3 linked regions of the Struthio camelus genome follow. The protein of the gene in region 1 interacts with the protein of each later gene in a biochemical or structural test. Links are inferred from orthologs where the notes say so. Each region holds a gene or a part of one and is shown on either strand. Other genes may lie near its edges.

Region 1 (10,268 bases):
GTAGGTATTAGTGTCTGGGGACAGTGTATATCATTAGGGTGCAGATTTGCACTATTCAGTACAACCTCAAAACAGTTTTTGCTCCACCAAAATGTAAGAGAATGCGTTAACAGAGAGATGCTGAGCTGTTACTGCTCCTTTCTAACCCTGGGTAAGAATCCTCTTCCCCCTCCAGCTTAGGAACTATACTAGCGCAGAAAGGTATACATTTCATCTCTGTGTACCAGCCTCAGAGAATCTGGCCACAAACACTTAAGCTCACTTTACTTATTCCCTTAAAGAGCAGTGACAAAACCTCCTGCTTTCTCTCATTTTATAATGTAAAAAGCAAATGAATAGAACAATCTTTAAATCAAAGGATAGTTAAGTAAACATTTATTTTAGACATCTCACTATTAAACTCCAACTACTTTAAAGTAAACAACTGCTGTCAAAGAGGGCATGTGTGAAAAATAGTAAAATGAAATATACTTGTGGGAGTGTGAAAACGCAAAGAGAAAGTAGCTTGAAGTATTACAGTTAACCAGCCAGTTTAGCCTTCCTTTATTCATCGCAGGATAATTCATTGTAAATGAATTAATGGCGAAAGGTTCAGTAATAGGCCTTGGTACGGAAATAGGAGCAGTGTATCAGGATATCCTTTTTCCGCACCAGAGTACCAATACTTTCAATTTTATATACAACGGAAGTAATTAATTGTAACAGAAAGAAGCACAGCTGTGTTTCCTGATGGTCACACATGCAAGTGCTACTATTGTTTAACATTTTGAGTATGTACAATGAAAACTCTTCAATTGCATTGAATGTTTTATATTTGGGGGATTTAATTTCCATTAGTAGCTTTTGAATTTGTAATGGAATTTTAATATGCTATTATCTTAGATTCAGTCCTGCATCTCTTAACAGGCAATTTTTTGCTGATGTCAGTGGGAGTTTAGACTGAATTACATACAGTTGCCAAATCTGGAGAGTTGCAGATACAGGGTGTCTCTTTAAAAGCAAGGGAAGTTACAGACTATTTGTCAGGATTTGCCCTTTTTTTTGGCATGTGTTTTTTTTAACTTGCTCCAATTCCAGTTCCAATATACATTCAAGTATCTTCAAGACCAAGGGAGAAAAGCTGTATTTCTATGCTTTTAACTTCATCACATGTTTTCAGACATACTAGCTGACTGCTGTGTCTGAAATATAAGCATGATCTCCTTTTTTTTTTTAATTAATTTAGTAGACCTATATTATTTTGCTTGTGCTAAGATAGGAAAAAAGAGAAGGAGAGTCAAGAGTATTTTGCTGCATTTATTCTTATTTAACAGTGTTGCATTTGTGGTTAAGGATGTGTTCGCAATGAGAAAAAAATTTAGAGCTTGATTGGTTAAAAACTATTTGGTTCATTTGTATAGGATTCAGATCTGTTTCTAACAAGACTGGAAGAACATTGCATTTTCTGTCTTGTATATATCCATCTTTGTAAATCTCGACACTACCCACCATAGCTGCTAGCAAAACATCTGCCTGAATCCCTCTCTTCTAAGGACACAGCTATCAAGACAGACCATTCTATGCTGAAAATAGTTCTGCTTGTTTAACAGTAGGACTAAAAACCAATTTCTTTTTTCAGCATCGGTTCAACTTCTGCTGCTGAAAAGGAGAGTCATCCAGAAGTGAATTTTCTGGTATAAAGGCTTGAAGGGGTTGAAGACCTCAGCATCAATAAATGAAATGTTAACACGATGGGCTTCTGGATCCAAGAATTACTCAAACTTGTAAAAGAAACGAACAAATACCTCTTATTATAAGAGTTGGAGGAACAGATAAATTTATCTTAGTGTAGTACAAATATTCTCAGGGAAAGCTAATAATTAAAACTTCTTTGTCGATCTTCTGCAGTGCAGAGTGATAGTTAACTAGGAATATCACCTTTAAAATCAGCACTAGAGTCTAAATACTTAATCTTCTCAGAGCAAATGAAGACCTTATGGTTTTTGTTTGCATGCATCTAGGGAAAAACATATTACTAATTCTCTGAACTCCAAACAAATCGACGTGAGAGAAGCACCCAAGTAAACTCTCTGTCCATAGTATTTTCTTCTTTTCTGTGTAAGACTTTTAATGTTTTTACTAACCAATATTAGATTAAAAAAAAAATTATTTGAAGTGCTTTTTGAATTTACAAGGATGGCTGTTTTGGGGTTTGTTATGGCTTGGTGAAAAGCTGGAATATGCTTTTTGTACCTAGAAGTCCATAAAACCAGAAACAAACACCTCAGCTAGGCACAGAAAGAAGAAACAGGGAAAGCAACAGGAAATTTGGTTCTTGACTGGCAAAACGTTTCCTAGAGTACTTGTGAAATCAGGGAAAGCGTTCCCATTACTACAGTCCTTTGAAAGATGCAATCGAGTTCCCTACAATGCCGCTCAGTAAGAATTCAGCTCCCATCCTGCACCAGCTGCCTAAGGTAATGACAAATGGAGCTGTTACGTCCTTCCTCCTCACTGTCCGCTTGAACAAGGCTGAGAAGAATCTGTCTGCAGAAACCATGAAGTAACCCCAAAATGCACCAAGTATTTAAGCTGTGGGAACAGTTTCCTGTTTCCTCCTGCCTGTTCTGCACATTGGAGTCTCCTACGCTGTTTTCCAGTTCTGTACCATGCTCAGTTCCACATCGCACTTGTTGGACTGAAGACTGGCCAGGGCTTGCAATGCTAATGAATTAATGCTTTTTTGCCTTTTTACTATCAGTGCTTCAACAGCAGAAGTTTTTTAAAAACACCTTTCCTCACAGATTTGAAACTGGCTTATTGAATTCATTATGCTTACATTTAACACATTTAATAAAATCTGTGCCATTCCTAAGTAACAGACAGCTGAATGGATTTATAATCAAAAGAACGTGCTTTCAAGTAAAATAATTCTGAAAAAAAGACTAAGCCAAATTCACATCATGTTAAGTGAAAAAATTATGTCCCTGGCTGAAGGGCAATAGTCTTTTAATATTTAACATGGAATATTTATTTTAGTAACAGTACCAGAAAAGCACTCATCTAATTGCAAATATATTTTCAAAAATATATTTGGCTTATACACTGTACTGTGGATTTTAGACATATGAATTCCAGAGACTGAAAGGAAGAAGGATATACCAAGATGAAAGCCCTATCACATGGATGACCTTCTCCCTATACATACCTCTTTGTTCTTAAAGAGCTTTTGATATTTAAGACTTGCATGTCCCAAGTGATTCCAAGACCTAATAAGAAATTCCTGGAGAGGAAATGACAAAGAAAGCAGCTGGAAGACTATCCAATTCATGACTTATTTAATTTCTTTTTAATACAGCTCTCTTCATCATGACAGTCAGTCTTGAACTACCACTCCTATATTTCTCGCTAGCCTTCCACATCCCTTCCTGTCCAAGTGTTGAATGAACATATGTTTATCTTCAGACTTTACTTCAGTGTCTTTGAGTGCTTCTCTACTTACAAAATAAGTACCTCATGTTACCAAAAACCGACGCGTCCAAGTTTTTGCAGATTTGACCAATCTTGACCAAGTGAATTGTCTGTTACTGATAACAAGCTTGCTGAGACCCTTTGTGTCTTTCTGACCACCTATCAGCTGAAGTGCTCATCTTCTGGTTTAAACAGATATCTCTACCTACCCCATAAAATAAAACAAAATAAGGTTTGATTCTTCATGTTTTACTTGACAAAAATCTTAGGTTAAATTTTCGCAGTTCGATTCATTAGGGGGTGTACAATTGGGTTCTTCAGGCACTATATAAAGAAAAACACTTCCATCACGTCCAGCATCACACGTTATGGCTGGGCTGCTCAGCAGTCCCCCTCTCACACACACACCACTGTATGATCGTAAAAAAGGAATTTTATTCTGCCCACATTGCTCTTATACTTTTGTTGTAAATCGTATGTTTCAAAAAATACTTTACACCTGTATGAATTTGAAACCACATCCTAAGCAACATTATTTCCGGCCTGACTATTGCTTGAGGCATCTTAAGTACGAGTGCCTTAAAAAGTACTAGTTGAGAAGGCAGTTCCTGTGACTTACTAATTTACTCATCAAGAACTGGATGAAACAATCGATCCATTTCACACGAGGAATCAGACAAATTTCAAGGTTAGTGGCTTTTGCTAAATTCAGGCATACTGGATTTAAATCAATACCCAACATCTGAAAAGCACGGGATTGTATTACCACATAGATTATTATTTAAAGAGATGCTAGCTCTAGCAGTTTTAGCTCTGGTTGGGAGCTCACATGCATGTCGCATTCTTCTTCCATATTGAGTGTCTATTCTGTTGCTATAATCTGATAGCAGACAGAGTGGAGGAACAGCAGACTCATATTTTCCTTTGAAATTATAAACATAAGCATACAAGTTCTGTATTGCTTGGCATGAAAGCTGTGATTTTGTCTTTCTTGCAGACTGTCTTTGTTTTGGACACTGACAAATTTTTCTGGATGAGGGTCATCGGAAAATTTTTTTCTAGAAGTTTAGTAAGACAAGACCTGTATTTTTAAATGCCTAAGACTGTAGTATCTGGCCGCCTGCACCTTACGAGGTGTGCCTTTACTTGGTTGCATTTTAAAGGAGCCTGCAAAGTTGACAGGTTTGAAATTATACTTCCTCTTTTGTTTTGCTATATGGGATAGTATGCAGGCTAAGCGCTTGCCTAGCAATCCATGAGTCTAATGCATATGAACTGTTCTTGCAGAGCCAGTGCTCTCATTTTACATCCTGAAGTGGTAACTCTAAAGTGGAGTACATGACATTTATGAATCCTATCTGATACTAGCATGCAAAAACGGAGCTAGACTGTGGAGAGGACAACACAGTAAGCAAGCCGTTGTTTCCCACACGATATGTACATGTGGCTATTTGCCACTCATAAGTGAGATTGTTTCTCAATGGTTACTCTCTAGAAATGGTTTATCTGGGCAGACCTCTTCACAATGGCAATTGCTGATGTGTCCTAAAGGGTGTTTTGGTCTACTTGCAACAGGAAAGTGAGTAGGTTTGTATGAGCTGTATGATCTTATTTGCCCCCTACCGTTGGCTTTACGTGCAAAGTTCTTGATGCAGAGGGTCCAATCGATATGGTATTAAAGGCAAGACCATGTCAACAAAACAACCGCTGTAATTTTGTTGAGTAAATGATTGAAAACAGCAGCCCACGTGGGAACTGTGGGGACTCCTTGTCATATGGCATACCATCATCAAAGCCCCTTCTGCACTGCTGTTGGGAGACACCACTTGAAGACAGACAGACAAGTTACGACTTTGCTAATTTGCCCTAATGACGAGGAGCTTGGAAAGCCAATGCAAATCATGGCCTTTAGCACACTTACCAATGAGCAAAGCAGCTCACTGCAGAAGTTATACTCTATCCCAGCCTAACTATCTGGGCTAATCTTTAGAGATACAGGAAGGGGAAAAAGCAAACCAACAATTTCGTCCATTGCGGTGGCACTACCCCTCTCCTGGCCCTGGCACGCCAGCCTTTCCAGAACTTAAACTATCTTTCCGCATAACTAAAAGGCCCCTTCAGGGCCCTCATTCTTCCCCTACAGTGGGGCGGCAATTGCCTCCTCGTTGCCCACTCCCGCTCACACCGTGGTCCCCTTACGCCACGTCAGGCAGGGCCGCTAAAACACTCCTCCACACCCCCTGCTCTGCGCGCCCTGCCAGCCATCCGTCCTCCGGGGCACCGGCCCCACCAGCTCCCTGGCCCAGCTTTCCGGCCCTCTGCCGCGCCCCCCTCACCCCACCTCGGCGCAGCTCAGCCCCCACGACGCCTGCTTGGCCACTCTTCGCCCTCGCACCTGGCTAGCGTCTCCTGGAGGAGCTCCTGCGCCCTCTCGCCTGGCAAAGCCACGCCGGGCACCCGCCTCTCCGCCTCGCCCGGGGCTCCGCCGCCGCGCTGGGCGGGGGGAGGCAGCGGCCAAGGCCTGCGCGGCCGCCCGGGGAGGGCAGGGACCACGCGGGAGGAAAAGCAGGCCCGGCTCGTTCCTCCCGGCCCACTTTCTTTCCGGGGGGCCCCGCCAGCCCTCCCGCCTACCGCCCGCCTTGATGAAGGGCGGAGGCGGCAGCCGCTGCAGGGGGCGGGAGCGGGGGGGGGGGGAGGCCGCGCCAACGGCCGCTGGTCGCGCGGGGGGGAGGGGGGCGCCGCCCCGCGCCAACGGCCGCCGCTCGCGCGAGGTGGGGGGGGAAGAGGGGGCGCCGCCCCGCGCCAACGGCCGCCGCGCGCGAGGCAGCCCGGCAGCGGCCGTTGGTGCGCGCGGCCGCGGCTGCAGTGATTGGAATGCGGCCGGGGCCCCGCCCCACCCCGCTCCGCAGGGACGGGCCGCGCCGCGCCGCGCCGGGAGCGCCGTGAGGGACGGAGCCTGCGCCGTGCCCCGGCCCGCCGGCCCTCCCACCCCCCGCCTCCCCCCGCACACCCCGCCTTCCCCGTCCGCCCGGAGCCGCCGAGGCCGCGGGAACGGCCTGCGGAGCGGAGCGAAGCGGGGCGCGGGCCCCCTCCCCCTCCGCCTTCGCTCGCCGCCGAGGAGGATGAGGAGCCCCCGACGCGGGTGAGTGCGGGGGCCGCGCCGCGCCTGCGTTGCCGCCGCGGAGAGGCGGGCATGTCGGGCCGTCGCGGGACGCCTTGCCCTGGCCCGGCGGAGGGGAGCGGGCGCCGTCGGGGCTGGCTGCCCCCGCCGCCCCGCGCCGCTGCCCGGCGGCTTTCCGCCCCTCTGCGCCCGCCGGTGCGGGCCGCCGGGCGCCGCGCAGGCCGCGGGTCCCCCCACCCGCCGCCCTGCCCCGCCGCGGCGCTGGGGGCGCTGCGCCGGCCCCGCCGCCCTCCGCGCCGGCGCTGGGCCGCGGCCGAGGCCGAGGGTGGCGCGGCGAGGCGCTGCGCTGGCGCCGGGCACGGCGCCCCTCGGCCGCGTTTCGGCGGCCGGCTGCCCCCGCGGCGGGGTGGGCGCGGGCGGGGGCCGGCCCCGGCCCCGGCCCCGGCCGGCAAGAGAGGCCCCGCTCGCCTCAGCCAGGGGCGCGCGCAGTAAGAAGCGTCGTCCGCCGTTCGTGCGCGCTTGGAGCCAAGTTACGCGCCGCCTCGGTCGGCCTGTTGCTGTCGGGTTATACGAAATAAGGAACAAAACTCTTCCCGCAAAGAGCGCTAGTCGCTGGGCCTACCTTAGAAGTTTTACTTGGTACGTTGACGGTAGAGGTCTTACGGAACAGCCGAAGGCTGTGCTGTTGAGTTGCGGTGTTCGGTGTCTTCCTGTAACTGATTGCAAAACCTAGGGAAGACGGTTAAAAACTTGCATGGCTCCCTACGGCCCTTTAGTTTTGTGAAAGAAAGTGAATTCGGCGGCAAAGAATGGCATTAAAGTGTGTTTCCGTGGAGCAGTCACCTGTCGTTTTGTGCTGAGGTTGTAGGGTGATTCTTTCCAGTGTGGATTGACTGCCTGTCTGACTCTTTTCATTCTCTGTGGACAGGTAAATATTTAGTGAATTCTTCATCCAGGTAGCTTCGTTGCAATTGCTCAGAGTCTGTTATCTGTAGGGATGAAGAAACTGCTTTTGCAGATAAGAGGAAAGTCATCTGTTTCAAGAAAGTTGCCTGATTTGTAGTAGAAACTAGTACTGGATAAAACATTGCGTGAGAGTAATTTATAGTCAGATGACATTGCAGTCTGCATGCAAAAAAAAATCTCCGTGTTGTGGCATTTGTAAATTGTTGGCAGTGTATTTGTCTCTTGTTACTGTACTTATGTTCCTTTTGTAACCTTTTCTTAAATTATTCAGTAGATTTAATTTTGTTATGTAAGTGCATGTCTGTGTTTCATATATATTTACATATAGGTGCACATGCATACGCCACAGTGGGCTTTGAGTTTTAGTCTAAGATTTTTTGTTGAGGATCCTCTCGCGTAGAGGTAAGGTTCAGCAGCCAGACTTAAGTATGTCCTATGGGCTCCTCAGTTCCCTTGACAGGGAATATATGTGGCTGGAGCTGCATCCTTCTTTCTAAAAACATGAAGTAATTTAGGTTGGACGGGACCTCTCGATGTTATGTGATCCAGCCCCTACTCCGTGTAACTTGGATTTTACTCATTAAAAGTTGTGCTTAACGGAATATTTTGCAGTTAGAGCTGCCACGATTTCTTGAAGTCATTGTAGAGAAACTAACTCCTAATGTTTTTGACGCTGCTTTTCAAAATCCTTACAGTGAGAATTGTGTGCTTTGTTAGGAGAATTAAAAATACTCAATATGGTAGAGTGTGTAAGCAATGTACCTACTGCTTTCTGGCTTCCAACATTTAGGAATCAGGAGTCTAAAATGTAGGTAGCATAACTAAAATAATTAACTTTATTCTTTCTGGTACTTCCTGTAGTTATTGAACTACTCCCTTATTTAAGTATTTTTTAGATGTGGATTTTAATAGCAGTATCCAAGTTTGAGAAAATAAAATGTTGACCACATTTGGTATTAAATATTGTGCCTTTTTGGATGTGCCATAAACTAGGTCTGATAATTTCTTTTAAAATGGACAAGTGTTTGCCATAGATGAGCTTTACTGGAGTATTATGCCAATAAAAACAAAAAGGATTTTGAAGAAGTAATAGATAGCTTTGTCTACTTCCTGGAGTGCTGAAAGGCTAGCACTTGATGGATTGCTTAGTGTTGTGGGGTTTTTTTGTTTGTTTTTTTTTTAAGTTAGGAAGTATGTTCTTATGCTTCTCCAAGAAGCAAGATATAGATTATGCAATTATATAAAGATTAATAAAAATATAGGGAAGGATTTGCTAAATATTCACTATTTTTATAACGACGGATTAGTGTAAGTTATCTTCATATTTTAGAAGAAAAAAAGTAGTGTGAAAACAGTGATGTTAAACCACTCTGAATCGAGGAAATCTCTCTTAAATCATTCAATATAATGAAGAACTTCTGCAGCTTTCTAAGGCATTGTGAAGCGCGAATATGTTACAGCAGATAAGAGGAATTCAATAGGTGCCCTCATAGAAGGGGTCAAAGAAGAGATACTAGCGCTTGCATGACTTTTGATATATCCAGACTTTCTAAGAGAAACAAACCCTGCCTCTCCAAAGACCTTGAAAACAAAACAAATCAAAAAGGGAGGTGGGAGCCTGCCTGCCTTGTTTGTCTTTGTGGCTGGTAACTTTTCTGATGAGGACAATATCTGTTTCCAGTAGCAGATGATGGCTGAGCATAGCAACTTCTTTGGCAGGGTGTTGAAAGGTGTAGATGGATAAATGAGACAAGATAGTGCGTGTGGGGTGCGGAGCACATTCAAAATGTGTATGTTTCTTCTGTGCTTGTGTAAAGGGTCAGCTGAAGATCTGCCCTTTCTATCTTGGCTATCTGGGAAAGCGCTTGATATTTCTTGGCTCCTCAATAAACAGGAGGCATATCTTCAGTGCTGGGGTCTTACTTCACCCACCTTACTGTCTTCTGCAAACAAATGACAGAAGGAGCTCAATAATTTAAAGGTATATCACTTCAGAGTTGGAATATTTGGACACTGGTGCAGTTCTTGCAGCTTGTTTCACTTGTTAACATTCCTAACCTGCAGAGTATAGTGTTGGGGGTGGGGGGAGAGGGAGGCTGAGTGCCTATATGTCTGTGTGCATGTCTACCTGACAGCAAACTTTTCCTTTAGCTGATGGAAATTTAGTGGTTCAGTTGTTTTTGTTAGATAACGTCTTTGGCAGAATCTTCACTCTGTTTCTTCTGCGGTTACTCTACCAAACTTTTTCTGATTATCCCTAGTCATGGTGATGTCATTGAGTTATCGTGTGTTTTGTACAGTGTTTAATGCTTTAAAGGGAAAGCAAAGAATTTCCTTTTGCCTGTTTTTCTTGCAGTTGCTTAAAGGTTACAATTAAGTCTGGGGAGTGATTGATATTCTCAGACAAAATTAGAATAGTTTTGCGTATTCTGAAAAATGTGTCTAACTGAAAACAAATGTAAGATGTTACCTGCTATACTGCAACCCTTTAAAAATAATACAGAGACGGGAATAGGTGATCCTTGAAATAAGGCAAAGAGCTTGAATCGTCACTTAGTTTATTCTCATTGTAAAGAAAGTGCTGCTTTAACGTTCTAAATGCTCTTAATAAAAAGGTAGACAAAATTATTTTGTGAGGGATTCAGTGAGAAAAATATGTTTAATGTTCTTTACTCTAGATATCTAATTGTCAAAAGCTTTAGTGTATAGGGTACAAGCAAATAATTGGCCT
Region 2 (9,804 bases), on another chromosome or scaffold:
AGAAGCTGAGACTGCAGGAAGATAGTGTCGGACCAAATTCTGCTTCCTGCTTATTTATATGCAGAAGTAAGATAAGCCTCAACAGGAGTGAAGCTGCGGGGTGCAGCTGTTGTATATAATCCTGCTTTCCTACAGACCTGTAAAATCCACAGTCTCCAAAGATCGCTCTGCTCCAGCACCAGAAGTTTTATGATTCAGGGGCATGGTACATATGGTTCAGCATACACACCCCAATTTTCCATGCAACCTCCCCTGCTAGGATTACTAATACTTGTGGCATGAGCAGTTTGTACAGCAGCTGTGCGCGGGTTATGCAAGCATTTATGTACACATTGGAATAAAGGCAGAAAATAATGGTTCTTTTGAGGTATTACTCTGCACCTGCCTGGAGAGAGAAAGCAAAACTATCCAAATTTGTGCCATTTAATTTTGCAGGTCAGAACCAGTTATTATTGTTCGCTTTGAAAACAATGGATAGGTTTTATGTGCTTTTCATACATATCAACGTAAAAAAAAGATATTGTCTTTACCTTCAGTGAATACAAACAGCAGAGAACTAAAAAATATTCCAGAAGACATAAATATAAGTTAATAAAAAGAATCCTGATAGTCTGATGATGGAGTGTAGAAGGAAAGATTGCTGTTTATTTTAAGAAAACATTACAGCTAAGCAGACTTTCAGAGCCGCATTTCCAGGATGCCTTAAGTCTTCTCCTAACAATACGACCCATAACTGTGTTCCCCACATACTTTTCCACAAATATATGCCTAAGGTTTCACATATTCAGATTACATCATTACCTATGAAGGCAAATGCTGGGCTTGTGCCAAAAGCCTCAACCAAATCAAACACGTATAGAAAAATTTAATCGCGCAAAATTAAGACTGAATTTTGTTTGTGCTGCTTTGGCAATACATGGACCTAAAAGTGGTTCTGTGTTAAACAATATCCATATATATACACATATAGTCCACAGAAATACGTTACTCATATAAGCTTAAAATATACATATATTACTGGAGTATACTGCTGTACGCATACACACACACACTCATACCACCACACAGTTATGTAAAAACATACATATATAACATATGCTTATATTCATACTGTATATAAGGTGTGTATAATAATGAATTTTGCCCAATATCAAAACCACATATGTTTCAATGATATGAGCTTGGTTCTAATGTTGTCTGGAGTAAATAATAAGAACTAAAAAATCCCCCTGGAGATCTAGCTTTGTAAGTTAAGGCCTCAGCTTGGCTCACCTTATGTACTTGTTGAACCTTAGATTCCGCACTATAGTCCCAAATCATAAAGCCAAAGATGATTTATTATTTTTAGTTATTACTAGCATCTCCAGAAGTTATAGCACTATTTCATACCTAGAAGCCCATTCAATTTCTGTCTCTCCTCTGATTAGTAGCAACAAGAATCAATACTTCAAATTTATAACTTAATCAGCACAGTCCAACCCAGCACAGCCTAGCCCAGATCTGTTCAAATTCTTGGATTAGAGTTAATATAATGGCTTATCCATAATGTGATTACTTTCATGTTGATGAATCTGTTCTCAGTAATAATGCTGAAGAGATGAACAGAAACTTTTGATAAAGGTAATCCAATATGATGTAATAAAATAGGCAAGCTGATTATGCATTCTTATACAAATAATAATGCTACTATTTTTGTTATATAAGTGTTTTGCGTGTGCAGAGCCCAGAAGAACAGTGAAAAATCAGAAAACTTGCTATTTTAGTATGAATATTTGGAAGAAGAGAAAAGTTTGCTATAATTCTGGAGGGGGAATTTGTTCAAGACAAATGAGAGAAGATGCAAAGCAGAATGGAAAAAAAACATGGTTAAAAGTTAAAAAGAAAACATCAAAGCAGGAAGACAAGAAGCTTGAAAATGATTCAACAAAAAAGGGGAAAAAATGTTTCATATCTGATTTTTAAAAACAATCATGACATGAGTTTGTAAGCAGAACCTAGGATTTCTACTGCCCATATGGTAAATCTGAATGCAAATGGCCAAATTCTGCCCCGGTATATTGTCTAATATGGGTACACGATGATGGTAACAGCACATACAAATTCAGCAAGCGCACATGCCTGCACATTTTGTGCATTTCATGTTTAAAAACTGCAACCTTCATTTCCAAAATACGTGCTTTCAAGCATATGGATTTCGACACAGGCAAAAACAATGGCAGTAGTTGGTACAAAAATCAGATAAGAGCAGACACGCAAAGCTCAAAGAGATCAAAAGTTGCTCAATTGGTAACGTGGCTTGCGCAGAACCTCAAGGGAAGCACTTCCATTGGGAGTTTGTTTTTATAGAAATTATCTGAAGCAGCAAGTGCCAACAAACAGGGATTACTTCATCACAGGCATTTGGTTTTCCTGCTCAAGAAGAGAAGAAGAGACCAGAGAAGCAGAGAAGAGTAAGAGGAAAAACTGGTTTCTTAATTGATCCAGGAAGGAGGAGGAAAAAGAGGATGATGACATGTAGGTGCCAGTATTTCAGTAACCTGTCGGCAGCCTGTGTGGAGCTGACCCTCTGGGAAGCAGGACCCGGTTTAAGTAGCACGCAGGAAAGGAGGGAAGAAAAAGTAGCTGCCTATTAAAAAAAAAAAAAAAAGGACAATCCAGTTGGCTTGGAAGGTATTTGAAATTCAAGCTCAGATCTCTCAGATCTGAGCGTTGAACCACTGCAGTGTGAGCAGCAGCATCCCTTATTGTACGGAGCAGAATAAATGCTGCTCTTTGTTGTGCCCCAAAGCGAGCTGCAGTGAATAGCCATGAACCTGACATCCAAAAAAATGATTCCTTAACAGATTCCCTTTCTCATCTCACATTTATTGACAGTGTTTTTGGTACACCATGTTTTAAGAACACATGCAGGGAGTACCCCTGCTGCAAACCATGATCCATTTATCTAAGGGTGTACCTGTTACAACCACAAAAAATGTTAAGGACTGAAAAACAGAACCACAGAAAATACGGCTAGAACAGAAAAAACTCCCTCAACTATTCCTATGAACGCACGGCATGCAGTTTCAGTATTCTCCCTTCTTGAAAGAAATCCTCTATTAAATCAGTAAGTTTCTAATGTTGGCCAAAACCAGACCACTTAACCAAACCAAACAAAAAGGAAACAGATTCAAACAAGACCTTTTTGAAAAATATGTCAAAGAAGTTTCAAGGTTTGCTTTTCTTCTGCTGTTTCTTCAGTGATGCATACAGCTACAACATTCAGTTACCTACATGAGGATCCAGCCCTCCCAAGTGATATTTTTCTTTACTTTTCCTCCAAGAGTGCTGTCATTTAAAAGGATTACACTGACCTGAAATTTAGTCAGTTTGAAAATGTGAGCTACAGGCAATTCAGGTGCATAAAATTCGGGCAGCTGGTACACCTGCTCTAGAGTCCACCGTGCCAGCCTTAAGGACTTTTTAACCTCACTGTCCACGATCAAACCAATTCTCCTTCCCCTCCTGCTTGATGAAAGACCAAAACTCAGAACTTGAGAAAAACTAATGGCCCCCAAGGAACAAAGAAGAAATGAAATGAGGTTATGGGCAGCTGAAAGGGAGCGCGGAGGGATGCTGAATCCCTTGCTTGCCGTCCCGTGGCCAGGGTACGCCAAGCTAAGGCAGCCCAGCCCGGGCACCCTCTCCTTGCCCCTCGCTGCCCATTCCTGCGGCCTCCCTTGCTCCAGCTCAATCCCTCCTGTAGTCAGTCAGATCAAGGAGCTGATCCAGCAGAAAACTAATGCAGCAAACACAACACAGGAATGGATAAAAATGTATGTATATACTTTAAAACAGACTCAACTTCCTGACTTGTGTGTGGATATAAGTGCTAGTATCAGCATAGAGAGGGGAAGCAGCATGCAGCTGAAGGTGCAGGTTAGGGTGGCAGGAGGAAAAACGTCTTTTCTAGGAGTAGCCTGGATTTAGATCGGCTTAAATTGATCACGCAACCACACCCAAGGCAAGAGAAATTTAGGCAAATGCCTCCCTCTTTAAGAGCAGGTTGGTGCTGCTTCTCAGGAAGTACAAAAGATGTCAGAGTGTGATCTTAATTGAGCATCCAAAATGCAACTACTCAGGCATTGCCGTGGGGAGAAACGGGAAGGCTGCCACAGGGGTGGGCTTTATCCCCCACCCCCATGAGCACCGGGGAGCTTTGCAAGCGTCCTTGTGCTGCCTGACGTGGATGTGCCTGCACAACCTCCATCCTCCCCATCCCCCCAGAGCTTGATCCATTCTTAAATGTGCCTTAGGACTGAGTTAGAAGTTTAATGCTGATTCCACCACTTCTTCAGTACCTACATGAGTCATTCAATGCTATGCCTCAGTTTCCCTGTAATTAAGAGGTGCACACACACACACAAATAAAATCACTCGATGTGTTTCCCATGCAGCTCTTTTAACCTACCTGCCATTTACACAAGGATTTTAAACATGAAGAGCTAAAAAAGTGCTAAACATTAGTTTCCAGAACATATGCAGGATCAGGTGCTGGATACTACTGGATACTGCTCATCTGAAAACATCAGATGAATAATCTACCAAAGAAACAACACCGACCTCCTTCCCTCCCCTTCCCTATGGAATGAATCTTAATGTTAGCATAAACTTACTGTATTTACATGGTTCCTGCAATTATCTCGGGCTGGATTCAGTGCCCCAGATAATCTCTCCCACCCAGCGTTCCCCTCTCTTTCCAAGTGACGTTTGGGAAGCAGTAATCTACATTTGCTCTCTGAGATTACTCCTGCTATTTACTGCGGCAGTAGACATCTACCTGGACTAATGAGGAGCAGGACTCCTTTGTTCTAGACATTATACAGGCAGCGAGTTCAAAAAAAAAAAATCACTGCTTTAAAAAAGTTGATAATCCAATTCAAGACAATGTGCCACAAAGGGGCATAGCAGAAAGTGGAAGAAGAGGGGAAGGTGAGAGAGAATGACAACGGCATGCCATACGGCTCCCGTGTGCACAGGTTCAGGGTTCCCAATCCCGTACGGGTTGCTGCTTTTAGAACTGTAAACCGACAACTGCCCCCGCCCCGGGTTTCTCCAACACTTTTCCACTAACTCTCCTCGCTGCCAGCTGGAAAAAGTGACCTGGGGCTCTTCGCACACACACACGCATGCCTATGTGAGTGTACATGTAATCATCGTGTTTTAAACAATCCGGTGTTGTTGCTCTTGTCCTGGACAGACTGTCCCCAAATGAGTGTACTTAAAAAAAAAAAACCGGGGGGGGGGGAGAGGGAGGGAAGAAACATGCCTGCGTGCGCCTGTCTGCGCCGGGACACGATACACTTACATGCCTAAACTATTTCAGGATTGGGGCCCCTTCCTTGCAGACGAACCACCCTCCCTGCTGGGGTGTCGTCTCCTTAATGACGTGCGCGCTGACTTCGCCGCGGGGGCACGGCTCACCCTCTCTCTCCCCCGCGCCGGCAGCCGCCACAAACATCCTGCGAGGCAACCTGATCAGAGGTTCCTCCTCCGGGCAGCAGCGCGCCTTTCCCGTCCTTCCCCAGCGGCTCGGGGCTGCGCAGCCCCGCTCCTCCCACCGGAGCCACCCTGCTGCCGCCGCCGGCCGCGGGGCCGCAGCGGGCGCTCGGCGGGGCCGCGGCGTGCGGGGCGCCCGGGCAGAGCGCCGCGCCCGCCGCCCCCCGCGCCGCGCGGGCCGCCCCGCGGCCGCGCTCGCCGCCGCCGGGCCATGAGCGGGCAGCGGCGCCGCCGCCGCGGGGGCTGCCGGCGCCCGCAGTGAGCGCGGCGCCGCCGCCGGGGCCGCCGCGCATGGTGGGGGGCTGCCCGCGGCGGGGCAGCCCCGCGCCCCCCGCGCCGCCCCTGCGCTGCTGCCGCCGCCGCCGCCGCCCGGCCGCGATGCCGGCGGCGGGGCGCGGGCAGCCCGCCTCCTGGCTCCTGGTGCTGGGCGCCGCCGCCCCCGCCCTCTGGCTGCGCTGCGTCCTGGCCGACTTCACCTTGGACAACGAGGTGCACTCCAGCTTCATCCACCGGCGGCTGCGCGGCCCCGAGCGCCGCGAGATGCAGCGGGAGATCCTCTCCATCCTCGGCCTGCCGCACCGCCCGCGGCCCCACCTCCACGGCAAGCACAACTCGGCCCCCATGTTCATGCTGGACCTCTACAATGCCATGTCGGTGGAGGAGGGGGCGGCGGGGGCCGCCGCCGAGGACGGAGAGGGCTTCTCCTACCCCTACAAGCCCATCTTCAGCACCCAGGGGCCGCCGCTGGCCAGCCTGCAGGACAGCAACTTCCTCACCGAGGCTGACATGGTCATGAGCTTCGTCAACCTGGGTGAGTGCCCAGGGGCAGCGGGAGCTGGGCCGGGGCCGGGAGGCTGCAGCGGAGCCCCGGGGGTCTGGTGGCACAGGTGTCCCCGGGGCAGCCATCTCCAAGGGGGATGGCGGTGCCAGGCGGGTGGCAGCCAGCGCTGAGGGCGAGGAAGGGCAAGTTTTGGCCCTTGGGAAGGCAGCTGCTTTGCTCGGTGCGAGTTAACCGGCAGCAAGGTGGGGAGGGTCTGTCTTTCTGTCACCGCACTTGGACAGCCACGAGCGCGTGCCGCGCTCCACCCCGCACGCCGACACGCTCCGTTCTTTGTCACCTTCCCCCTTTCGGTAGTTATTTGCAGCGCCTCAGAGATCGGATTTGCAGGTATGAGCTGAACAGGAAAACTGGCAGGTCTGTGCCACATCCTGAGCCACCGAGGAGGACAGAGCACCAGGCAGGACCGCGGGCCGGGGCACAGCTCGCGGTGCCAGGCTCGCGCCCGCGCGGGTGATGCCAACACCGCCAGGGCTGCCGCGGTGGGTAGTTCCCGCGGCACGGAGAGCACGGTGCTCGCTAGGTTGCACGGGCCAAAGCTGCAGGCGGATGTTGTCTTAACAGCTCGAGAGGGATTCCCGAGTAAATCCCTCGTTACTCCTGCCGCTCTTGCTGGTCACCCCAGTTTAGGCAGCTAACTCGCCTCTTTTCACAAGCACATGTGGCTGGGTTTATGCAACTAATGCAAAAGCTGGCGTGCTGTGTATGTGGCTCGCTAGGCCTCTCTAATTGGGTGCCATGGCCCAATCTGATTTCTCTTTGCCCGCTGTAGATTGCACACCCGTTTGGGCTAACTTGGCTGGATTTAGGGAAAACGTTGTCAGGATGAACATTCTATTTTAAATATAAAATTACAGACCCTGCTTCACTCTGTCCATTTTTAGAGCTCGTCATGTGCAGCCCTGAAACCACCAAATGTACAGATTGGGTGCCTGCAAGTTCAAGGCAAAATTTGTATAGTATTTTCAAAACAAGGTCGACTCAAAACTTTTGCCCAGACAAAGGGACACACAAAGAGCAAGAGGAACGCACCTCCGGCACGTAACAGGCTAGCGACTGCAGAGACCCTCAGCATCAGCAAATCCATTAACACCTTTAGGGATGCCACTGTTCTGCACACCTCGACTCTCTGCAGCTTCAGTGGCGACAAAAATTAAATCACCGCCTCTCTAATCCCAGCACTTAACTAACTGCAAAATACCGGTAGCTGTATAAGCTCCGTGACACACATTAATAACTATTAAATACGGGGGCCATCCCAGCACAATTCTTGCATGATGCTGGGACCTGGGACACTGTGCTAGAGCTCTAGTTTGCATGAGCTGCACCTTCTTATTAAACACCGTAAGCTTCACAGCAGGCATCTATGAATTACGTTTGGCCTTGGGGCTGCGCTAATACTTTCCATTTAGAATTATAGTGTTTGTCTAATCACTGCTAGATACTTAAGCCGATCAGCAATGATACATTTAAAATCAAATATTTGAGCAGCCAAAAGTACCACTGGTGGTCAAATATTTGACTTGAGAGATAGGAGTGATCTTGCTAACATTGTTCGCTGTGGCACTTGGGTGCTACACAATGTGCAACCAAAGTGCAGGGAGAGTCGCTCACATGACAAAGGATGTTGAAATAACTATAGCAAAACTCAGACTCTGTTTTCCTTTTGGTAAAGTGGAACCTTTAGGAAAAATATAAGCGACTAATGAAGTTTATCCTTAGGGAAGCTGTTGTACTCCTGTTGTTTGTAGCTCTTTGCTGCATAACTTTTCATCAGTACACTCCAGCACTCCAGCCCCCTGCTTCCTATGCAAGGAAAGGCCGTCTTTGCAGCCCATGGAAAAGGAATAAAAGGGCTTAGTGTTCAGGTCCCAAATGCTTTTGAATACAAACGTTTTGTGATCAGAGTGGGACTGATCAGTAAACTAGAAAACAGAAATTACATTGCGGATGTATCTACTTACAAGTGAAAACTTTTTTATAAAGCAGCTTTCATATAAACTATATGTAGTCGAAGTATATCCTTTTATCTAATTGCTGTCAGCGTGGCCAGCGAGTAGTAAGAGGGCAGGAAAAATCCAATGGTTTTTAGAAAGACAGGTGGAAAAATTACCAGCAAGGCACGTTTCAGAGGTTTATCTGTACTGTTTTGTTCCCTTGTCAACAGTGCATGCCAGGACGAGTTTAAAAAGGACATAGATCTACACTAGCTTTCTTCATCACCGTGCACACCTTTCATCCCATTATAGTCATCGGTCTTTCATCTTTATAGGACAAAGACAGGCTTGTTTATGGACGTTTTAATGAATTAGACCAGCCACTCACTCACGTATATAGTCAAACACAACACCTGCTTTGATATGTACAGTTTTCTATGACGTTCAGGGAAAATTAGAAGATCTATTGTATAACTGCTATTTTTTTGGAGACTTTCTACAATGATCCCTTTTAAGCCAGAGCTGAATTGCTAAAGGCAGACTATAGTAAACTGTGTCCTAGTTTTGTAAGAGATACCCTGTGAGCATTGCGTTTCACAGGTAGGCTTTTATTACTGTACTAGAGCCATCACAATGAGGAAGTGTCATAGCGTAATAAAGAAGTTTCCTCTTAGTAATGGAGGAAGTAAAAGTGAGTAAAGAAATAATACCTTTAAATTTCAATAAACAAGTTGTGTTAATCCAGGCTTCCAAATACTAATCTAGCAGTACACTTTTTTTGCTTTATTCCTAGTTCGTCATCTATCTGGTCATACAACTTCAGAGAAAGCTAGAAAAATTAAAGATTTACACCGAAGTAAATAAGAGCCCACATAGTGAAAATAAATAAAAAATAAGAACAAACCACCTCACTGATTTCTATGGAGATGGTCTGCATATTTAATCCAAAGAAGTTACACTGGGTATTGGTAGGGAGGAACCGGAATACAGGTGCTCCATTTCACGGTTATGTTGGAGGGAGCTTTGAACTTGGCATGTAACGTTACTGTAAAATCTTGACAATTAATTAGGTTTAGATTTATAACCACTTAATTCACAGGCTACGTTTTGTCTTAACTTACACCTGTGTTAAGATGGATGGGAAATGGATTTGTGTCAAGAATGAAGTTACATATGTATTAAAAGAGAATTTGGCCACAGTGGTCTGACTAAGTTGGCCAGTTAATTACTGACTAATCTTACAAAATTTATTACTATAATTTAATTAGTTGGAATTTCATTCCGGATCGTGTGCAAATAAAGTTTACAAACTGATCCATTTCAAGAACTTAACTGAAAAAATACAAAGCATTTTCTGCACATGTTTAATTTCCAGTTTATAAACAAACTAATGAGTAAATACCTGCTGGATTACTTAGAGCCACTCTTCTGAAAATAATTGAGTCGTCCTTCTGCGGGTAATCATGACTCGGTAAACACGCTTGCTCAGAA
Region 3 (9,884 bases), on another chromosome or scaffold:
AGTCTGGCCCCATCCTCCTGCCACCCTCCCTTCAGGTACTTCTACCCGTTGATGAGATCCCCCCTGAGCCTTCTCTTGCCCAGGCGGAAGAGGCCCAGCTCTCGCCTAGGAGAGATGCTCCAGTCCCTTCCTCATCTTTGTCGCCCTCCGCTGGACTCGCTCCAGTCTCTCCATGTCTCCCTTGTACAGGGGAGCCCAGAAGTGGACCCAGTAGTCCAGGTGAGGCCTCAGCAGGGCTGAGGAGAGGGGCAGGATCCCCTCCCTCCACCTGCTGGCAACGCTCTGCCTGATGCACCCCAGGAGACCATTGGCCTTCTGGGCCACGAGGGCACCTTGCTGGCTCGTGGTCACCTTGTCGTCCGCCAGGACTCCCAGGTCCTTCTCGGCAGAGCTGCTCTCCAGCAGGTCAGCCCCCAGACTGTCCTGGTGCGTGGGATTATTCCTGCCCAGGTGCAGGACCCTGCACTTGCCTTTGTCGAACTTCATGAGGTTCCTCTCCGCCCATCTCCCCAGCCTGTCCAGGTCCCTCTCAATGGCAGCACAGCCCTCTGGGGTATCAGCCACTCCTCCTAGTTTTGTACGGTCAGCAAACTTGCTGCGCAGAGAGTGCGCTCTGTCCCTTCGGTCAGGTCACTGAGGAATACATTGAAGAAGACTGGACCCAGTATTGATCCCTGGGGGGGACATCGCTAGCTACAGGCCTCCAACTAGACTTTGCGCCACTGACCACAACCCTCTGAGCTCTGTCATCCAGCCAGTTCTCAATCCACCTCACCGTCCTCTGCAGTGCTTCCCCACATGCACCCATGACTGATCACGTGCTGCCATATTTATTCCACATCTGACAAATGCAACCTAGCAAGTGGCAGGACCAAGCTCTTCACAGGAGAAGGCTCGGGAAAGCCTAGAGGCTCTGGCAATTGTTAATTGTCATATGTGTTTTTTCCTACACTTTTTTTTTTTAAATACAACTGAAAATAATTAATGGTTTCAAGACAAAGAGGAAAGAAATGATATTTTCCTGGACATAAATTATCACGGCCTCACAGGAGAGCTAAATAAACAAAATCTACCATGCACGGCTGTAGAAGTGAGTGCACCCAGGCTTGTCTGTGGGAGAAGCAAACAACACCGAGGTCTGTTTCTCCCAGAGCCCCTTCTCTCCCAGGGGCTGCTGTTTACACAGGGCATGTTCGCATAACTCAGCATTGCTCAGAAAGTGTGAGATTTGGCTGCATCAAGTTACTCACCTGTGCTGAGGCACAAGCATAAAGAAAGTGCAATTCTGCAAAGTTGCTAAGAGGAACAGATATTTAACTCTGCTATACAGATCTACTCTGCTATCGATTGCCAGTCAGCCCATCATCATGGAATACAGCCACCAGGGATAATTACTCATATAACTCATTTTCTTCCTAAAGAGCATGCATTTTACATTTCTCTATGTCTGAACAATTGCCCCATCCTCTGAGGAAAAGGGGTGTTACTGTTCTGCACTTCCGTCTGGCCACCATAAACTGCCTTGATCATCTCAAAGTGAATGATCCTGCGTGAGGTTTGCAACCCAGAGGAACCATAGCTCTGCTTTTCAAATTGCCCACTAGAGCACCTAACATCAGCATCACCACGGCTTCTCTGGCTTCTCCGTGTCGGGGCCCTGAGGGCACTAATGGGCCTTAATGGCCCTGACCAGCCTGACTTGGGGCCTCCCCCCACCTGTGCTCATGGGTCCAGGAGCACATTTAGCTCAGCTTGGGGTCTTCAGTCCCAGCCTGAGTTACGTCATCAGGGATCAAATCATTCTAAATAGAAGAGCGCCTACAATGCTCCTTATGCTGCTGAGCTGAGCACTGAAGCAGTCGTGATGCCCATAGTAGGCAGCTGGAAGAAGATGCTCAGATGATAGTGCTCAGGTCTAGGGATGTATCTCCCAGGAATGCCTTCTACAGCCACTTTCCCAGAAAGCTCTCTGTTTACAGAACACACATGAGAAACTGCTTCTTAGAACAATCCCATTTTGATAACTTTAGAAAGGCAATCAAAATTATAGAAAAACAATCACAGATGCAGTTTCCCAGACTTGCACATATACCATTCACAACTTGCTCTGACATTAGGCTTGAGTTTCTCAGAAGTAATCACCGATGTCCCAGGTTTCTATTTTTCATTGCTCAGTTTGGGGCCTGACTTTCAAAGAACAAAGAACTTCCTGAAAATCAGTTCCTGACATTATCGGCTAGTTGTTAATTAGGGATGCAGGTGCCTACACGAGGCATCCAATTTGAACATTTTTACTTCCCCACACTAAGCTATCGACTTCCTCCTCGCTAATCAGCTGCCTAATACAGAGAACTAACATGATAATCAGCCAGTAGTTAAAAGTAGTTCCCAAAATGAAAATAAAACTTAGGAAATGATTTTCCGGCAAGTGCAATGAAAGTACGCCTGCCTCTTATGCAGACGAGATTTATTTTATTTTTTCGTGGGCAAGATGAGTTCTGAAAGAGCAACTCTTACTAAAATCGCATTGGCATTTAAGTGACGTTTTGGCAAAACACCATGGAAACATTTGGTCACATCCTCTCAACCCTTAATTTCTTCCTTAAATGTGCTTTTTAATATGTCACAGTTGTTAAATTTGTAACAATAATTCCCTTGAGACTAAACAACAGTGCTTGGTATGTGAAAAATGAACAATACATTTACATCAGTAAACCAAGAGGAAATTTTAAATAAACGTCTAATTGAGCACAAATAGTCCAAATGTTACTTTTATGAAATTTGACCATTCTGTAGGCTGATTTTAGCAGCAGGATGTTCTAAATAAACTCAACTAAAACATATGCTGTCATACTCTTTTTCAGTTGTGACATAACTAACCAGATTCACTTCTGATTGCTTTATTGCTACTAGACAAACATTGCTGTACTGAAAGCCAAATAAGCAGCACTTAAATTAATTTGAAAACTTTCATTTTTAAAATGACCATCGAAATCCTAGGAACAAATCTGGTAAGGTAATTGGCACTTTCAGATTTTTTTGATTGGAGGGAAGAAGACTCAAGATTTGTATACAAAAAGACTCATATAAATTCCTGTTAAATCTAGTATGGAATTTGACTGCACAAACATTGGGTAAAATCAATGCCCTAGGAGCAAGGGGCTGGTCTGGGTAGGAACAACACAAAGCTGGTGTGTTCCCGGGTATAACAGCCTGCATACGTTCAGCAATCAACGCTTCTGTTCGTGCTGTCCCAACTTTACTAATACTGCATTATATAAATCTTCAGGACAAGTAATTAACAACTTTTTTATTTGTTGTGTAAAGCATTGAGGACATTGCAGGGTCCTGTGTAAATGCTAAAACTGCTATTAACCTGTGTATTTCTTAGCCAATATAAACAGCTTTCAGTATGCCTGCATCTCCCAACAGGGCTCAGGCCTGTAGTCTTGCTCATTTTAATGAGATTTCACCTTTCCTTACAGAGCGTTCAGTGTGTATTTTGGTGGCAGCAGCACCACTCAGAATAGGCTCTGATCCATTTGCTTTTTTCTTTACTTTTCTTTTAATAAAATCAACCCATTTTGGATTCTGGTTTCTAGGGCAGAAATCCCATAGTGCTTTTAGTCTTGAACATTTATTCAGACCTCCTTTTGGCTTCATTACAAGCCCAAACAGCAGTACAATTTAACAGACACATCACTGCACTGAGATTCAGAAGTTCAGTGATGAGCTTTGCTGCTAACCATTGCCACCTGCTTTACCTCTCAGTGCTCTTGCTCCTTTCCTGCTCTGTGCCCGCCTTCTCTATAGGCTGTAGGCTTCTCAATGCAAACACCATCTTCCTGGAGAAGGATCTCTTCTGGGACTCTCAAACATTCCTATTATAGAAAATAAGAACACAGAGATAGTCCTTCTCTTTCGGTTTTACTAATAAACACAGCTATTTCAGCCATGATGGATCAGATGGGCTCTCCACTTTTTTTATCTCCAATTACTTATCTGCTCACGTTCTTCCCTGCTGAACAGCATAAACCTTCCCTGCCTCCTTAACCTGCTGCTCTATATTATTGACCAAGACTACGTTCAGAGAATGTTACTACAGTTGCAAAGTCAATCATTCCAGACTTAGAAAACATGCAGATCAAGACTGCCTATGCCTTGAGTCCGTGGACTACAGGCAATGATGCACAAGCCTTCTCTCTACTCTCAGCCCACTTTTTTTCTCCATCAGCTTTAGGCATTCTCCACTACAGATGATACTTGATTCCTGAGCATCTATTCATTATTTTATTCTCCTTACTCTTTCACATGTTGTGAAGTTCTTCCAGCATAGCTGGCTTCATGTTGCACTTTCTAGATTTCTGAATAAGCACACTGAAAAAACAAAATATCCAGCACATTGATAACATACAGTTAATGAGCAGAGAAGTATTCTGTCACCTGCATACCTCATCCCTTTGAGCAAACAGAGCACTGACTCCCACAGCTGCTTGCCATCCTCTCTGCAGAACAGCAGTACAGGCTTGGAAAAGACATATTTCACTTTCAGAGGTCAGAGGAATTCAGATATATTTGCTGACAGTGATGGGATGGTGTGCCCCTGGCTCCAGGTTTCATTCCAGCTTGGAGACAAATGGCTGCTGTTGTCCCAAAGCCTGACTGGTTCAACATATCCTTTTCAAATTCATCTTGCTTGAGATCCACCTCTAGATTTCGTGCCAGCACTGGTCTCCTCCCAGGGTCATCTCTTTGAGGTCTCAATTTCACACCCAGTCTCACTTCTCTTCATAAAACTTTGTCTGCATTTTGCCTGGCCAGCTAGTCCCCACTCTATTTATATATCTCTCCCATAAACATTGGTTCTCTAGCCCTGCTTCCCCCTCTACATTCAACCTTCTCTACTTCCCTTCTCTGCCATGGACAACGCTTTCAGTCCAATGCATTCCTGCTTTTATTACCCTCATCCAGTTTCTTGTCTCCACCTCTTTGCGTCCTTTCTCAGCCAACAGGGTCCATCTTGTTACCCCTACCCAGACTCAGTTTCCTGTGGCTTTTTAGTCTCCACCTCTCCTGCTCACCCCACTGCCTCACACATAATCTTGGAAGACTGCTTGCTCCCATCTTCTCCTTCCCCCATCCTTTCTGCTATCTCTGGTCTTCTCTGAACAAGTCATAGATTCCTCCTCTACATTTTCTGACTTTTGATGTGGCAAGAAACAAGGGCATAGAAGGAATAAGCTCTAAAGCCAGCTTCCAGTTCCTTCCTAGAGCAGCCATCTCTACAGTCCTGCTCTCAGACCCCTTCAGGCACCATGGCGGGAGGCTGTGGCAACAGCCTGTGCAGCAGTAACATTTGGGGCAGGCTAACCCCTTGAGGATTTCAGCTAAATCTCCACTGATCACATATAAACTGAGAATTTTCAGTCTTGTGATTTGCCCAGGTGCAGGCAGATTTTCATTGGTACAGCAAAAATACCATGTCCTTGGAAGCAGCAGCACATATACACCATGAAGAAACGATGTAAAAAAAGCTTTTTGCATGTCAGTCTTCTGAATGAAATTCTTGTACTCAGTCACCAAAAGAGTATCTGCTGCTTCTGGACAGATGTTTTTAAGGCACTTGATTCATTAATTGCACTACACCTGATAAGTTTCTGGGACAGTACCAAAAATAACTGTATTCTCCACTCAGACATATTTTGGGTGGTGTCATATGACGATGCGGGGAAGGGAGACTATGCAGCCACATAGCCCTCAAAGCTCACAGTTCTCAGAGTTAAACTACAACAAATGTCAGTCAAAGTCCTTCTAGCTGAAGCTGGCAAAGTTATCAAGAGAGCTTCATACTACGATTCGTATAAACCCACCTAATTTTTGCTCACATCATCTCTGCTGGCCATGTACACCATGTCTTCGATTTATTTCTGTGAATGCAATAAAAGGCAGTATATCCTTCAAGCAAAGCAGCATTTTTCATGAGTGGAGGGCGACAAAGATGATTAGGGGACTGGAGCATCTCTCCTAGGAGGAAAGGCTGCGAGAGCTGGGCCTCTTCCACCTGGGCAAGAGAAGGCTCAGGGGGGAACTCATCAACGGGTAGAAGTACCTGAAGGGAGGGTGGCAGGAGGATGGGGCCAGACTCTTCTCACAGGTGCCCAGCAACAGGACAAGAGGCAACGGGCAGAAACTGAAACACAGGAAGTTCCATCTAAACCTGAGGAAAAACTTCTTTCCTGAGAGGGTGACAGAGCCCTGGAGCAGGTTGCCCAGAGAGGTTGTAGAGTCTCCTTCCTTGGAGATATGCAAAAGTCGCCTGGATGTGATCCTGGGAAATATGCTCTAGAGGACCCTGCTTGAACAGGGAGGTTGGACTAGATGATCTCCAGAGGTCCCTTCCAACCTAAACCATTCTGTCATTCTGTGATTTCCAATATTCCATAATTACATGACAGCTAATAGCCTAATCAGATTTTGCCTAATTTCCCCAGACAGAAATACACCAGCCCCTTTTCCTCACTTTACCTGTTCACAAGACAGTGGATAACATCTCTAGAAAATAATGCATCAAAAGAAATCCAGCTGCAAGAGCCCAGCCCAACAGCTATGCAGGTAGCAAATTCCCCCAGGAGTCAGTTAGACAATGCTAGTGCTCATTAAGGCTGGGTGGGACAGCAGAAATGGGAATACACATTTCCCTTCATTCATCAAACTGGAACAAGAATGAGGGTTCAGAAAAAAAACAAGCACTTTGCAGAGTCAATGACTGGGGACAAATCAGGAGAAAAAGAGACTTTGATCATTAAAACTGCAAAGAATGAAGCTTAAAAAAAAGTTGTTACATAAAGAGGATTCTTTAGTTACAAGAATGTTTGATCCGATTCACAGTTAAGGATGTGCACCCATTTTAAACGGAAAATCCTTTAGCTTTGGTATGAATTTATCTAGCCTGCCAGACAAATTGCTCATATCAAACTGTCATTTGGATGTTCAGCCATTGAAAACATAGTTAAAGCATGTCCCTTAATTAGAAATCCCATGGAAATGAAAACAATCCTCTCTGGCATCTCGTTCCCCTGGATGGTAACTTGGACTTATCATCTGGCACGGCCCCCTTCCTGTTTGCGTGGGTGGACCCAGGCAGACGTGGAATTCTGCTCCCCTTCCAGCCGCCCTAGGAGACAGGCAACTTCCCATGCCAAGGTTTTGTCTCCTGCAAGCGGCTCACTACAAACAGATCCAGTAGATGCAATGAGCTTCTCCAATTAGAGGTGCATGGTATAGTCGTCTGCTGCCCATTAGGGACCAAGAGAAGCTTAGCACAATATTGTAAAGGATAAACAGATTTTAAATCTGTTTCATTTTGCCAGATAGGAGTCTCTTTGATCAGACTGCACTCTTTTCCAGAAAATTGTAAGAGATAATCTTCAGTTATCTGCTAGTAAAAACAATAAAGCTCAGTCATTGCCTATTCCTATTGGGAGGACTAGGTAATTCGGCAGGATCAGTCTTTCTAGCTCTATTCATTTTATCACCGGTCTTGCATTATTAAATGTTTTGTTCAAAGCCTCATTTCCCAACAGCTTGTTATTATATAAGAATTCCAGGCTCATTAAAAATTAAAAAAGATCTCAAAACTTCACAGTTATGAAGACATTTTTAAAAGATTAATCCCAAAGTTTAAAAAGTAAAAGGTGCATTTTTAGCAGGGAAGAGAGTTAACCACTGGAATAAGCTGTTTTGGGATATGGTAAATTCTTTCTCATTTGAAGTCTGTAAGTCAAGATGGGATAACTTCCTCTTCTACCAGGTAGAGTCTGACATGTAAGCTTTTGACATGTAAGCAGGAATGACACAGTGAAATTCTCTGGCTCATGTTTCACTGATGAGATTAGAGAGGTACAATCACTCCTTGAGACCTTGAAGACTATTAACTGACTGGGAAGGGAACCCAAACTGTGCTGGTTTCATGCTGATGAAGACAAATTCATGAGCTTTGAGTGTTATGCTCCGGCAGTGTAGATACATTGCATTTGATTTGTTTGAAAACCCTCATCCTCATAGGGAGGCTCAGGAAGGCTGGGCTGGATGAGTGGACGGTGAGGTGGATTGAGAACTGGCTGGATGACAGAGCTCAGAGGGTTGTGGTCAGTGGCGCAAAGTCTAGTTGGAGGCCTGTAGCTAGTGATGTCCCCCCAGGGATCAGTACTGGGTCCAGTCTTCTTCAATGTATTCCTCAGTGACCTGACCGAAGGGACAGAGCGCACTCTCTGCGCAGCAAGTTTGCTGACCGTACAAAACTAGGAGGAGTGGCTGATACCCCAGAGGGCTGTGCTGCCATTGAGAGGGACCTGGACAGGCTGGAGAGGTGGGCGGAGAGGAACCTCATGAAGTTCGACAAAGGCAAGTGCAGGGTCCTGCACCTGGGCAGGAATAACCCCACGCACCAGGACAGGCTGGGGGTTGACCTGCTGGAGAGCAGCTCTGCCGAGAAGGACCTGGGAGTCCTGGCGGACGACAAGGTGACCACGAGCCAGCAAGGTGCCCTCGTGGCCCAGAAGGCCAATGGTCTCCTGGGGTGCATCAGGCAGAGCGTTGCCAGCAGGTGGAGGGAGGGGATCCTGCCCCTCTCCTCAGCCCTGCTGAGGCCTCACCTGGACTACTGGGTCCACTTCTGGGCTCCCCTGTACAAGGGAGACATGGAGAGACTGGAGCGAGTCCAGCGGAGGGCGACAAAGATGAGGAAGGGACTGGAGCATCTCTCCTAGGAGGAAAGGCTGCCAGAGCTGGGCCTCTTCCGCCTGGGCAAGAGAAGGCTCAGGGGGGATCTCATCAACGGGTAGAAGTACCTGAAGGGAGGGTGGCAGGAGGATGGGGCCAGACTCTTCTCACAGGTGCCCAGCAACAGGACAAGAGGCAACGGGCACAAACTGAAACACAGGAAGGTTCGTCTGAACCTGAGGAAAAACTTCTTTCCTGAGAGGGTGACAGAGCCCTGGAGCAGGTTGCCCAGAGAGGTGGTGGAGTCTCCTTCCTTGGAGATATTCAAAAGCCGCCAGGACACGATCCCAGGCAATGTGCTCTAGGTGACCCTGCTAGGGGGGATAGACTAGATGATCTCCAGAGGTCCCTTCCAACCTCAACCGTGCTGTGATTCTATGAAAACTAGCTTTTTTTACAGTCCTTGTTTACAGGAGGCCTGGGACGTTGCTCACTTGTAGGAGAGAGGTTCACTTTTGTCAGCCAGCACAGCCTGGTTGATTTAAGCAGAACTCTATCAGTTTTCCACCAAATGGAGGACTAGCAATTTCTCCCCTGCTTCAGGAATAAGCCCAGAAACGGTTACCAGAATCGAGCATGTTTGCTAGAAAATCTCATCCCTCAGAATTCCCAGTTTTTCTGTAGGCGGCAGAACAGTTTCCCAGCGGCTTGGCAGGAGTTTCCTCTTATCCCACAAAGGGTCTAAGGAGACTGCAGAAGTGACATTATCTTGTCCTACATAGACTCCACATAGGCGGGATCAGGAATATGAAGACAGAAGGAGAATGAGGGGAATCTTCCCTCTGTCAATCTTTCTCTGGGAAAATTACTCCCGCTGTGAGACTAATATAACACATTTTGAGTGGTTCTGCTCCTTACCCATCCATTTCCCCACCAAGAAGTTCCCTGTTGCTTGGCTAAACTTCCCAGGACAGAGGCCGAGGAGGGGAGAATGACTGCAACAAGTAATAAAAATAGAAGTAGGGCATTAAATAGGACATTGCTGCAGAGTAATAGGAAGGGAGGAAAGGAACAGGCTTATGCATATTACAGTCCTATAAAAGAGAAAGAATTCTTAAATGAGTATTAAAGATGGCTAACTCTGTTACAGCGTGAGAAAATCA

The links.
Region 2: the proteins of BMPR1A (region 1) and BMP7 form a complex in vitro, tested with the Homo sapiens proteins (2 studies listed by BioGRID). The link is inferred for Struthio camelus from reciprocal best matches to the Homo sapiens genes BMPR1A and BMP7.
Region 3: the proteins of BMPR1A (region 1) and BMP4 form a complex in vitro, tested with the Homo sapiens proteins (3 studies listed by BioGRID and IntAct, with this or other methods). The link is inferred for Struthio camelus from reciprocal best matches to the Homo sapiens genes BMPR1A and BMP4.

The regions. Positions count from the first base shown.
Region 1 is NC_090948.1:33,512,798-33,523,065, reverse strand, and holds the start of BMPR1A (bone morphogenetic protein receptor type-1A), read left to right. Parts: upstream 1-6,383; 5' UTR 6,384-6,592; intron 6,593-7,191; exon of another isoform or gene 7,192-7,210; intron 7,211-10,268. UniProt on the Homo sapiens protein: On ligand binding, forms a receptor complex consisting of two type II and two type I transmembrane serine/threonine kinases.
Region 2 is NC_090959.1:12,811,971-12,821,774, reverse strand, and holds the start of BMP7 (bone morphogenetic protein 7), read left to right. Parts: upstream 1-5,829; coding exon 5,830-6,349; intron 6,350-9,804. UniProt on the Homo sapiens protein: Growth factor of the TGF-beta superfamily that plays important role in various biological processes, including embryogenesis, hematopoiesis, neurogenesis and skeletal morphogenesis.
Region 3 is NC_090946.1:79,891,243-79,901,126, reverse strand, and holds the start of BMP4 (bone morphogenetic protein 4), read right to left. Parts: upstream 3,879-9,884; 5' UTR 3,842-3,878; coding exon 3,765-3,841; intron 1-3,764.